Linked DNA regions of Caenorhabditis elegans. The protein of the gene in region 1 purifies or fractionates together with the protein of each later gene. This does not show direct contact. Each region holds a gene or a part of one and is shown on either strand. Other genes may lie near its edges.

Evidence for each region.
Region 2: the proteins of M01G5.1 (region 1) and nmrk-1 fractionate together in Caenorhabditis elegans (co-fractionation; one large-scale study listed by BioGRID). This does not show direct contact.

Annotation. Positions count from the first base shown.
Region 1 is NC_003281.10:1,494,463-1,499,447, forward strand, and holds the start of M01G5.1 (Casc1_N domain-containing protein), read left to right. Parts: upstream 1-1,938; 5' UTR 1,939-1,943; coding exon 1,944-2,013; intron 2,014-2,064; coding exon 2,065-2,172; intron 2,173-3,632; coding exon 3,633-4,276; intron 4,277-4,985. Other genes in the region: Y82E9BR.19 (F-box domain-containing protein), read right to left, coding at 785-868; ave-1 (SAM domain-containing protein), read right to left, coding at 1,060-1,217, 1,313-1,463.
Region 2 is NC_003279.8:6,105,209-6,109,543, reverse strand, and holds nmrk-1 (Molybdopterin synthase catalytic subunit), read left to right. Parts: upstream 1-1,828; coding exon 1,829-1,915; intron 1,916-2,058; coding exon 2,059-2,118; intron 2,119-2,543; coding exon 2,544-2,762; intron 2,763-2,808; coding exon 2,809-2,929; intron 2,930-2,974; coding exon 2,975-3,134; intron 3,135-3,183; coding exon 3,184-3,559; 3' UTR 3,560-3,681; downstream 3,682-4,335. Other genes in the region: nse-1 (Phorbol-ester/DAG-type domain-containing protein), read left to right, coding at 1-134, 187-287, 334-455, 499-670, 716-900, 945-1,248; T27A3.8 (NADH dehydrogenase subunit 4L), read right to left, coding at 3,975-4,030, 4,074-4,242.

The DNA.
Region 1 (4,985 bases):
AATATCGATTTTTGAAGAAATTTTGCGATTTTCAAGTTAAAATCGTTTTCATTAACATTATTTGAAATAAAACCCCAAAAAAAATCGATGAAAAATGGCTAGAAACCATGATTTTCAGATTAGTGGCCTAGAAATCCCAAAAGTTAGGCCATCAATATATTTTGTGCAAAAAAAGCAATATCTAGGGGTAAAAATGAGTGAGAATTTCAATTTTTAACTGAAAATTGGTGAAATATCACTAGAAATATTATTAAAATCATTTTGAAGCAGCAAAAAATGGGCAAAATTCGAAGAAAACTTAAAAATCTAGTTTTATAGCTAAAATGACCGAATTTTTGGGCAGAAAATCAGTTGTTCAAAACAAGTTTGAGGAAATATCTGGAAAATTGGGGATTTTGCCAAGAAATTCCATAATTTTTGGCTGGAAATTGAAAAAAATTGATTTTTAAGATTAAAATTTAAAATTTTAGGGTTTTAAAAAATATTTCATTTGGTAATTATTGAATTTTGGATAAAATTCACGTAAAACCGCCATTTTTGAATCTGAATATCTGACTTTTAGCCCTAAATATTATAATTTTAAATTAAAAAACCCGAAAAATGGGTATTTTCCGATCATTTTCCATGAATTTCTATAAAAAATTTTGAAAATTCTCCGAGTTTAGGCTTTTAAAACTGAATTTTCCAGTGAATCTGAACATTTTCGCTTGAAAAATTGAATTTTTAAGCTGAAAAACAGAAATTTCCAGCGGTTTTTTCTCATTTTTTGCGAGAAAATCGCTACCTTTCCACTATAATCGGCCACAAAAGGCTCGAAATCGCCGAGTTGCTCGGCGAGCTCATCTGCACCCAAATCAAAAGCTTCCATCTGAAAATTAATCCCTAAAACTCTGAAAAATCATTGGAGTAAGCGGTAAATTCAGCGATTTTCTTGAGAAAACGCGTAAAAAAGCGAAAAAATCCACATAATACAGAATAAAACATGGCGATTTTTATTTTTTATAATTTTATATGCAATTTATGTACATTTTTATAGGTTTTCCGGGGTACTTTTCGAGGCTAAATCGCCGTCGGAGGTGTCCGTAGCTTCGAGAATTCGTCTAAATCGCTGTAAAGCTTCTCTTTTTTGATTTCCAGCAGCAAATCCTGTCGCTCGTCGTCAGTTTCCACTCCGATTTCGCGTAGATCGTCATCTGACATCTCCACGAGCACTCTGCCTGAAAAAATTAGGAAATTAGGGTTTTTTTTCCGGAAAAAATCGATTTTTCGGTGAAAAATCGAATTTTTTGGTCAATTTTTCTCTTTTTCTCACCTGTAACATTGTGTCGCAAGAAGAAATGAGCGTATTTCAGCGCAAAACGTGGCCGTTTCCTCCGAAGCCACTGATCAACGTCGTTTGCCGACCAAAAGTATATCGGACGGTGCGAAACCACGTGGTACACCTCTTGCACGTTTGTTGTCATTTTTTTCGCCGAAAAATTCGAGAAAATCGGCGAAAAATCGGGGAAATGGGCTGAAAATGGTGGAAAATAATAATAAAATAAAAATAAAAATGAATTGTCTCTGCGTCTCCTCGATTCTCACGCTCTCTCGCGCCGGGTCTCAGTGGAGCGCGCTTGCTTTGGTTTTCGAAATTTAAGGGAACATGCAGAAAACGCGGAAATAAAAGAGAATTTCGCGATTTTCGTAATAAAAGCTGGGAAATAATTATTTTAAGATTTCAAATGTTAATAAAAACTATTAAAAAACGAAAATTCGATATTTGGAGCTTATTTTGTTTTTTAAAACTTTGTTTGGAGTACGGTAGTTTCTGTTCTGTGCAGCGTGAACCGCGTAAGAGGCATTCAATTCTACGACAATTATTTTCGAAATTGTTTTATTTATTTAAATATTTTCCCCGAAATTCGCCGATTTTCAGCTAAAAATCCAGTTTTTCAGCCAAAATGGAGCCCGATGATAATGAAATTCGATGCCAAATCATGTGGCAGCTCAAGCAGGACAAGAAATATGATGGTTTGTAGCTTGAAATTCGAAAAAAAATCCTAAATTTCCCTAAAATTCCAGAAATCGCCGATCATGTGCTCACGTGCTGTCTGGATTGTATCACAAATCCCAGAAAACAGTTTGGAGGCCGCGAAATGCTATTTCCAGACGCTCCACCGCCCTGGATTAGTAAGGGATTTTGGGAAAATCCGGAAATTGTGGCATTTTCTCGAATTAAAAACTCGAAAATTTGTTGAAAATACTGCAAAAGCCAGAAAATAGCGGCTGTTTTGTTAAATTTTGTAGCAAAAACTCACTAGAAATCATAATGTTTTAGAGTTTCAGTAAAGTCAACCGATTTTCATTAGAAACTCCAGAAATTGAGACTTATTACTACTTAAAATTCAATTTTTTAAGAAGAACTTTGAAATTCTACGAAAAAAACAACGGAAATTGCTAATTTTTGCCAGTTTTCTGGAAAATTTACATAAAATTGAACAAAAATGTAATTTTTCCGAATTTTTTTCCGTAATAGTTTGCTATTTCTATTATTACTTTGATTACAACTAAATTTTTGGAAAAAAAACCTAAAAATTGGATTTTCCGAGCTATTTCCCCTGTGACTTGTGCGTTTCTCAGATTTTTGGCATAAAAACTGTATTTATTCACATTTTACGCCATAAATTGGCTGAAAATGTGAATAAATACCGTATTTCTGGCAACAATTTGACAATAGAGCACATTTGTCACTCGGAGATGCGGAAGCTATGCCCAAATTTTCAATTTTCAGTCAAAAACTTGTAATTTTCAGCACTTTTTGTTGATTTTTCGCATTTCTCAATACGAAATTCGATTTCTTCGTCACTTTGTACCCCCGAAACCCGGTTTTCCGCCAATTTAGACGAATTGTCGTAAAGTTCGATGCCGAGTACGTAATACTCGGTGTTTGCGTACTTTCGGGGCTACCGTACCCCTCGATATTCAAAAATAGGCTTAGAAGCCCGGCAAAAAAAAGCATCCGGGGTGAAATTAAACGGGGAACTTGAATTTTAGTGTGAGCATCTTTGAAAACTTCTGAAAAAGTCGAAAAATGTTCAATTTTCAGTGTTTGCGTACTTTTGAAGCTACAGTACCCCGCAAAAAATGTTAAATTTAGAACAAAAAACGACTCAAAGTGAAAAAGAGCGGAGAATTCAAATTTGATATTGAAAATTTCAGAAAAATTAAGAAATACGAACGATTTTTTGTTGAAAAACTCCGAAAAATCCGTACATTTGGATTTTTCAACAATTTTTAAAAAAATTATTGATAAAATCGATTTTTAAACAGTATATCTAGCAGTAAATAACGAAATTCAATATATTTGATTAGATTTTAACAGAAAAAATCGAAAAATTACAGAAAAGCCACCCTCCTGAACTATTTATTCCCCTGTGACTTGTGCGTTTCTCAGATTTCTGGCATAAAAACTGTATTTATTCACATTTTACGCCATAAATTGGCTGAAAATGTGAATAAATACCGTATTTCTGGCAACAATTTGACAATAGAGCACATTTGTCACTCGGAGATGCGGAAGCTATGCCCAAATTTTCATTTTTTCCCGAAAAACTTGCAATTTTTTCCAAAAAATGTCGAAAATTTTCCAGAAATGCCAGAATCCGAGAAATCAGATCCCCAAGCGTGGCGAAAATATCAAAAACGTCAAGTTCACCAACAAATGACACCCGAAGAATTCGACGATTTCCTCATAGAATCCGACTTTGGAGACGAACGAATGTGCCACGAAATCGCGAAATTCAAGCGAATCGAACGAGTCGAGGCGTGGATTGTGCTCCGCGAGCTCCGGAAGAAGCAGCGAGAACGGAGACTTGAAGCCGAGAAAATTGCGCGAGAAATCAAGAAACGAGAGACTGACGAGAAGCGGGAAGCCGAGAAATTGAAGAAAATGGACGAAAAACTGAAGATTCAGGAGAAAAAGCAGCAAAAAGACGATGAAAAACAGGAATATTTGGATAAAATTCACGAATTGGAGGAGGTTTTGGGTGTTGCGGCGGAGCCCAAAGAGGGGCCTTCCCTGGAGCCCGGAGAGCTCGTCGTGGAGCCCCGCCGGCATCAAAAAGTGTATAATGTGAAGAACTCAATGCCATGGGCTCCATCTCCGTATGATGTGCTCTGTTCGGAGCATCGATCCACAATTCCCCATCAACAACAGAAGAGAATGAACGCGATGTACTCGAATTTAATGTATTTTGGAGAGTTTCAGCATACCAGCAATAGGCGAGAGCTTAAGGTGTGAGATTTCGATGGAAAACTGAATTTTTTGACCTGAAAACGGTGAAAAATCGCAAAAATCTGAAAAAAAATCAGCGTTAAAAACCTGAAATTTAGGCTGAAATCTGATTTTTTGAGCCAAAATTCCGGAAATTTAGGCGATTTTCCGCTGAAAAATCGAAAAGTTGGTGAGAAACTCGTTTCTGAGCGATTTTCGCCTGAAAAATCAAAAAATTGGTGAAAAACTGATTTTTTGAACTAAAATTTATGAAATTTGTCGAATTTTCAGTTAAAATATCAAAAATTTATGAAATTTGACGAATTTTCAGTTAAAATATCAAAAATTTAGTATAAAACCTAATTTTTGAGAAAAAATTCCGGAAATTGAAGCGATTTCCGGCTGAAAAATCGAAAAATCGGTGAAAAACTGAATTTTTGAACTGAAATTCCGGAAATTTGACGAATTTTCTGTTGAAAAATCGAAATTTAGGTGAAAAACTGATTTTTTGAACTGAAATTTATGAAATTTAAAGATTTTTTAGTTAAAAAAAAATCGCAAATTCAGTGTGAACCGAATTTTTGAACTGAAATTCGGGAAATTTGTCGAGTTTTCAGTTGAAAAATCGAAAAATTGGTGAAAACCTGAATTTTGAAGCCAAAATTCCGGAAATTTGACTGATTTTCAGCTGAAAAATCGAATAATTGGTGAAAAAGTAAATTTTTGAGCC
Region 2 (4,335 bases), on another chromosome or scaffold:
AGTCATGAAAGCCGCAAAAAAGTTTGGAGCTAGTCATCGCCACCTAATCAATAAATTCATCTTGGAACCATCGATGAGCGCTAAGAAGATGAACCTGATGTTCGCCAAGCATTTGACCACTGCTATCTGGAAAAGTCTGTAATTTTAAGAAGGGAAATAATATTGGAATAAACAATTTGTTTGCAGGACATCCAGATACTGTAATGCAAATTCAGACAAATCGAGAGGAAGCACGTCAACTTTCGAAATTGATTGTGAAAACTATGAATGACGATGAAGGAAAAGGGGTGAGCAATTTTTATGGGGAAACAGATATTAAAGTTGAAATTCTAGCCAAAACCGTTCCGGCCGTGGCGATTCGTAATTTCTACGGATGAAAAATCTCCAACGGAGTTTGTCACAATGACAGGATGCGGAAGAAATTCTTCAGTTATTAGTGAAGCCAGCGATTTGACGTAAGAATTTTTTGAATATAAAGTTTCCAATTGAAAGTTGCAGAAAAGTCGAGCGAGCTCTTCTTCTCGTTATTCTCGAAGAAATGATTTCCTCAGATGGAACCGTTCAAATGGATTGGGTTCATTCTCAAATTCGGCATGAACCATGCAAAATGCCTGGCCCTAAATGCGACATTTTCATGGCAAAAATGATGAGACAAAGGTATTTTTTAATGGTAATAAGAATTCAATAATAGTTATCAGTGCATTTTGCATTTCAGACCGACGAAAACGAAGTTGCAGAGATCACACCACGCATTCTAGTCGAACTGGAGCCCTGGCTTCGTGCCAAGTTTACAGGAGACCTCAAAACTTGTGAACTGTGCAGAAAAATCATTTCCCGATCGGTTTACACTGCTGAATGTCAGAAATGTCATGCGTTGTGTCATTTTAATTGCTTCAAAAAGTAGGTTGTTTGCCGGGAAAAGCAAAAAAAACAATGGATTTCAGTGCAACGATAATTTCTCACCAAGACAACGTTGAATGTCAGAAATGCAATCAAAATCTGTCTTTGAATGAGGTTCTCAAGCAAATTGATACCAAGAAGGCCACAGGTGTTCCACGATCGAGAGACACCGTGGCTAGAAGCCCTTCACCAGATTCAGATGTTCCGAAAGCTCCTTCAAGGACACAAAGAGCGAAATCTAAATCGAAAACGCCGGCTCCAGTTGATTCTGACGATGATATGACCATAACTCCTAGGCCGACGAGAGGGAAGCGGAACCAGCGAGTTCCAGACAGTGACAGTGAATAAAGCAGAGGGATTTCTATTTAAAAAATTCGGCTGTGTACTCTTTTTGGACTATTTTTTTGGATTTTGTTTTTTATTTTCTGCCAAACGATGTTTTGAAATACAGACATTTTTTTCAGTTAAAGCTTTCCCTTTTCTATCGTTTTTTGTAGACTGGTTTTTATTCCTATTTCTCTGCATTTTAATCCGAATCCATCCCTCTTCACTTTCCTACCTTCCCACACACGTGTCAAATACCTCACCTTTTCCCTCCGGTTCACTGACTTTTCCCACCCGCGATTTTCATCCCATTTTTCATGCATACATCTTCAATGAAACATTTTTTAGAATGTAATTTTCCCGATATAACCACGTTTTAAATCTGAAATTGCTGGTTTTGACCTGAAAATCTGAAAGTTTTAATCTCCTCTTTCCTCTGCTTATCATTGTGTTTTCTACCGGGCCCGTCACACGAGAATGCAAGAGATAAATTCATCGATTTTTTTCTGATAATTCAATTGATTTTATTGTTCGAATTGATTGCATTTTTCTAGCCGCTTGCTTTTTTCTGCTTCAATTTTTGGAAGACTTTTGAATTTTACAGATGACCTCAACAAAAGCCTATGTTTTGGCTTTGGCCGGTTGCACAAATTCCGGGAAATCCACGTTAGCAAAGGAATTTCAACGATTTGTAAGTTGAAACAAAGAAGTCGGAACAATGTTAGCTTTCTCGTAAGACGCAGTTTATATGCAATTCATCGTGCTTCACACTTTACATCAAAATTTGAGACTCTGTGAGGCTGTCCAACAACGATTAATATATTGTATTTTCAGTTTGGTGCCGGCGAGACTACAATAATAAATCAAGACGAATTTTACAAAACTGAAAACGAGGTTGGTTTAGAAAATCCGAAAAAAAGCCATCACAAACAAAACACAGAATTAACTTTATTTCCGTACAGAGAAAGAGTGGGCTCGACTCGCCTTTTTATGAGTACTGTAGTTTTAAACTTTTCTCTAGGAAATTTTAATCGATTTTGTAGTTTGTCGTTTAAGCTTTGTTTTGTAACAAACAACTAAAATAAAAAATTGAAAACAAATACATTTTAGAAAATTGCAATTAATTGTGAGAAAAACTATGAAAAATCAATGAAAATTACAAGTTTTTAATTACAGTACTCTTTAAAGGCGCACATCCGTTTGTATTGAACGAAAATTGTCTAGTCGAGACCGGGTACCGTGTTTTCAGCGGAAAAATCTCAACATTTCGCGTCTGGGGTTTCAGAAACTTTTTTCAAAAAAAAAAAACGTTATTTCAGGTTGAAAAAATTTACCACCCGGACGCTGAGCATCTCACCGATGAGGGATATTATTGGAGTTTTGACGAAAAAGAAGCGATAAATATAGATCAGTTTCGACAACGGATTCTCAATGAATCGAAAGTTTATAAAAATGTGATAATCGACGGGAATATGATTACCGAAATGGACGAAATCGTGGATCTGTGTGATCGGATAGTTGTGATGACACTGGATTTTGTAAGATTCTTTCGATTAATATTATTAAAATTTCTAACTTTTTCAGAAAACCTGCAAACGAAGACGCGAAGCTCGAACAGATTATGTGCCTGCAGACACACCTGGATATTTTGTCAACGTCGCTTTTCCTGCTTATGTTAGACATTTAGAAAGGGCGAGGCAAAGAAGTATGAGTCTGATTCCAATTTCCAATTAAACATTTTTTGTTTAAGGTCGCACAGATTCCCGATTAACATTCATCGATGTCTCGGAGTCCAAATTTGATGACAAGAACAAGTCGATAGTTAACTTTAGACAACAAATCCTTGATGATCATATAAAACTGACTGATGAAGTGATAGATGTGAAGGTTGTGGATCAGCTTGTTAGTCAGTATGTTTTAATCTTTTCAAACTAACAACAATAACCTCTCCTATTTCAGCCCTTCCTGTGGAGCAATATCCACCTTTAACGGTGTGACACGTGATAACCATGGAGGTCGTGACGTCAGCAACCTTTCCTACGATTGTCACGACTTGATGGCATACAAGAAGCTACGTGGAATCTGTGCAGAAATTCGAGCGGAATATCCGGATGTTAAGAAAATCGCGATTTTTCATCGTCTAGGAAAAGTAGACATCGGAGAGTCATCTGTGATAATTTCCACGTCTTCACCACATCGGAAGACTGCAATTCAAGCCACTGAAAAATGTATTGATTTATTGAAGGAGCATGCACCAATCTTTAAATACGAAGAATACTCGAATGGAGAAGTGGACGGAGTTTGGAAATCAAATATCGAAGATTCAAAACAATGATTTAATCTGAAGATGTTTTTTATAATTTTTATGGATATGAGCTTATTTGTGATATGTACATTGTACATTTTTGAATAGATGAACTTGCTAGCTAGAATTTTAGAGAATAAATGTTTTCTTTTTCTCCTTCGCCTCATAACTGCACTTCTTTTCAAAGAGAACCTGACATGAATGGTGTCACCGGTAGCGTGTGTGTTTTGTGTGCAGCGGGTCGCTGGTTCGACCCCCAGCCGTCGATGACGACCAAGAGTTATCCCTGTCTGAATGATTGTGAGGACAAAAGACTATGGTAACACTCCGAGACTAGTTTTTCATTTTATTCTATAAAATTTTGTTTGAAAATCATTTATTGCATTAATACATGGCTCCCGTAGATACAACCCATTTGAATCATCGTATGCTATTTCTTAAAGCATCAATTCAAGTCAACTTGCTGCTCGTATTCTTCCGAATTGAAAGTGAAGACTATTTCTGAAAATAATTTTTAAAATTGGAATATTTTGGAAAAGTGTACCATAAGAAAAAATATGCAAAAGAACTTTGGTAGATATAACAATTGAAATAATTATACCAAGAAAATCCAATAATTCAGTGTTTATCGCCAATTCCCACATCCATAAGAAGCTGACTGATAACATCATTCGGGTGATATGAAGTGATAGAAGAAGGAATTCACAGATAAACTGAAACATTTAGAATAAAAATCTCAAGATATTCTATAATTTCTCGAACAGGACAATTTTCAGAATCAACATAAGGTTCGTGGTCCTAAAACG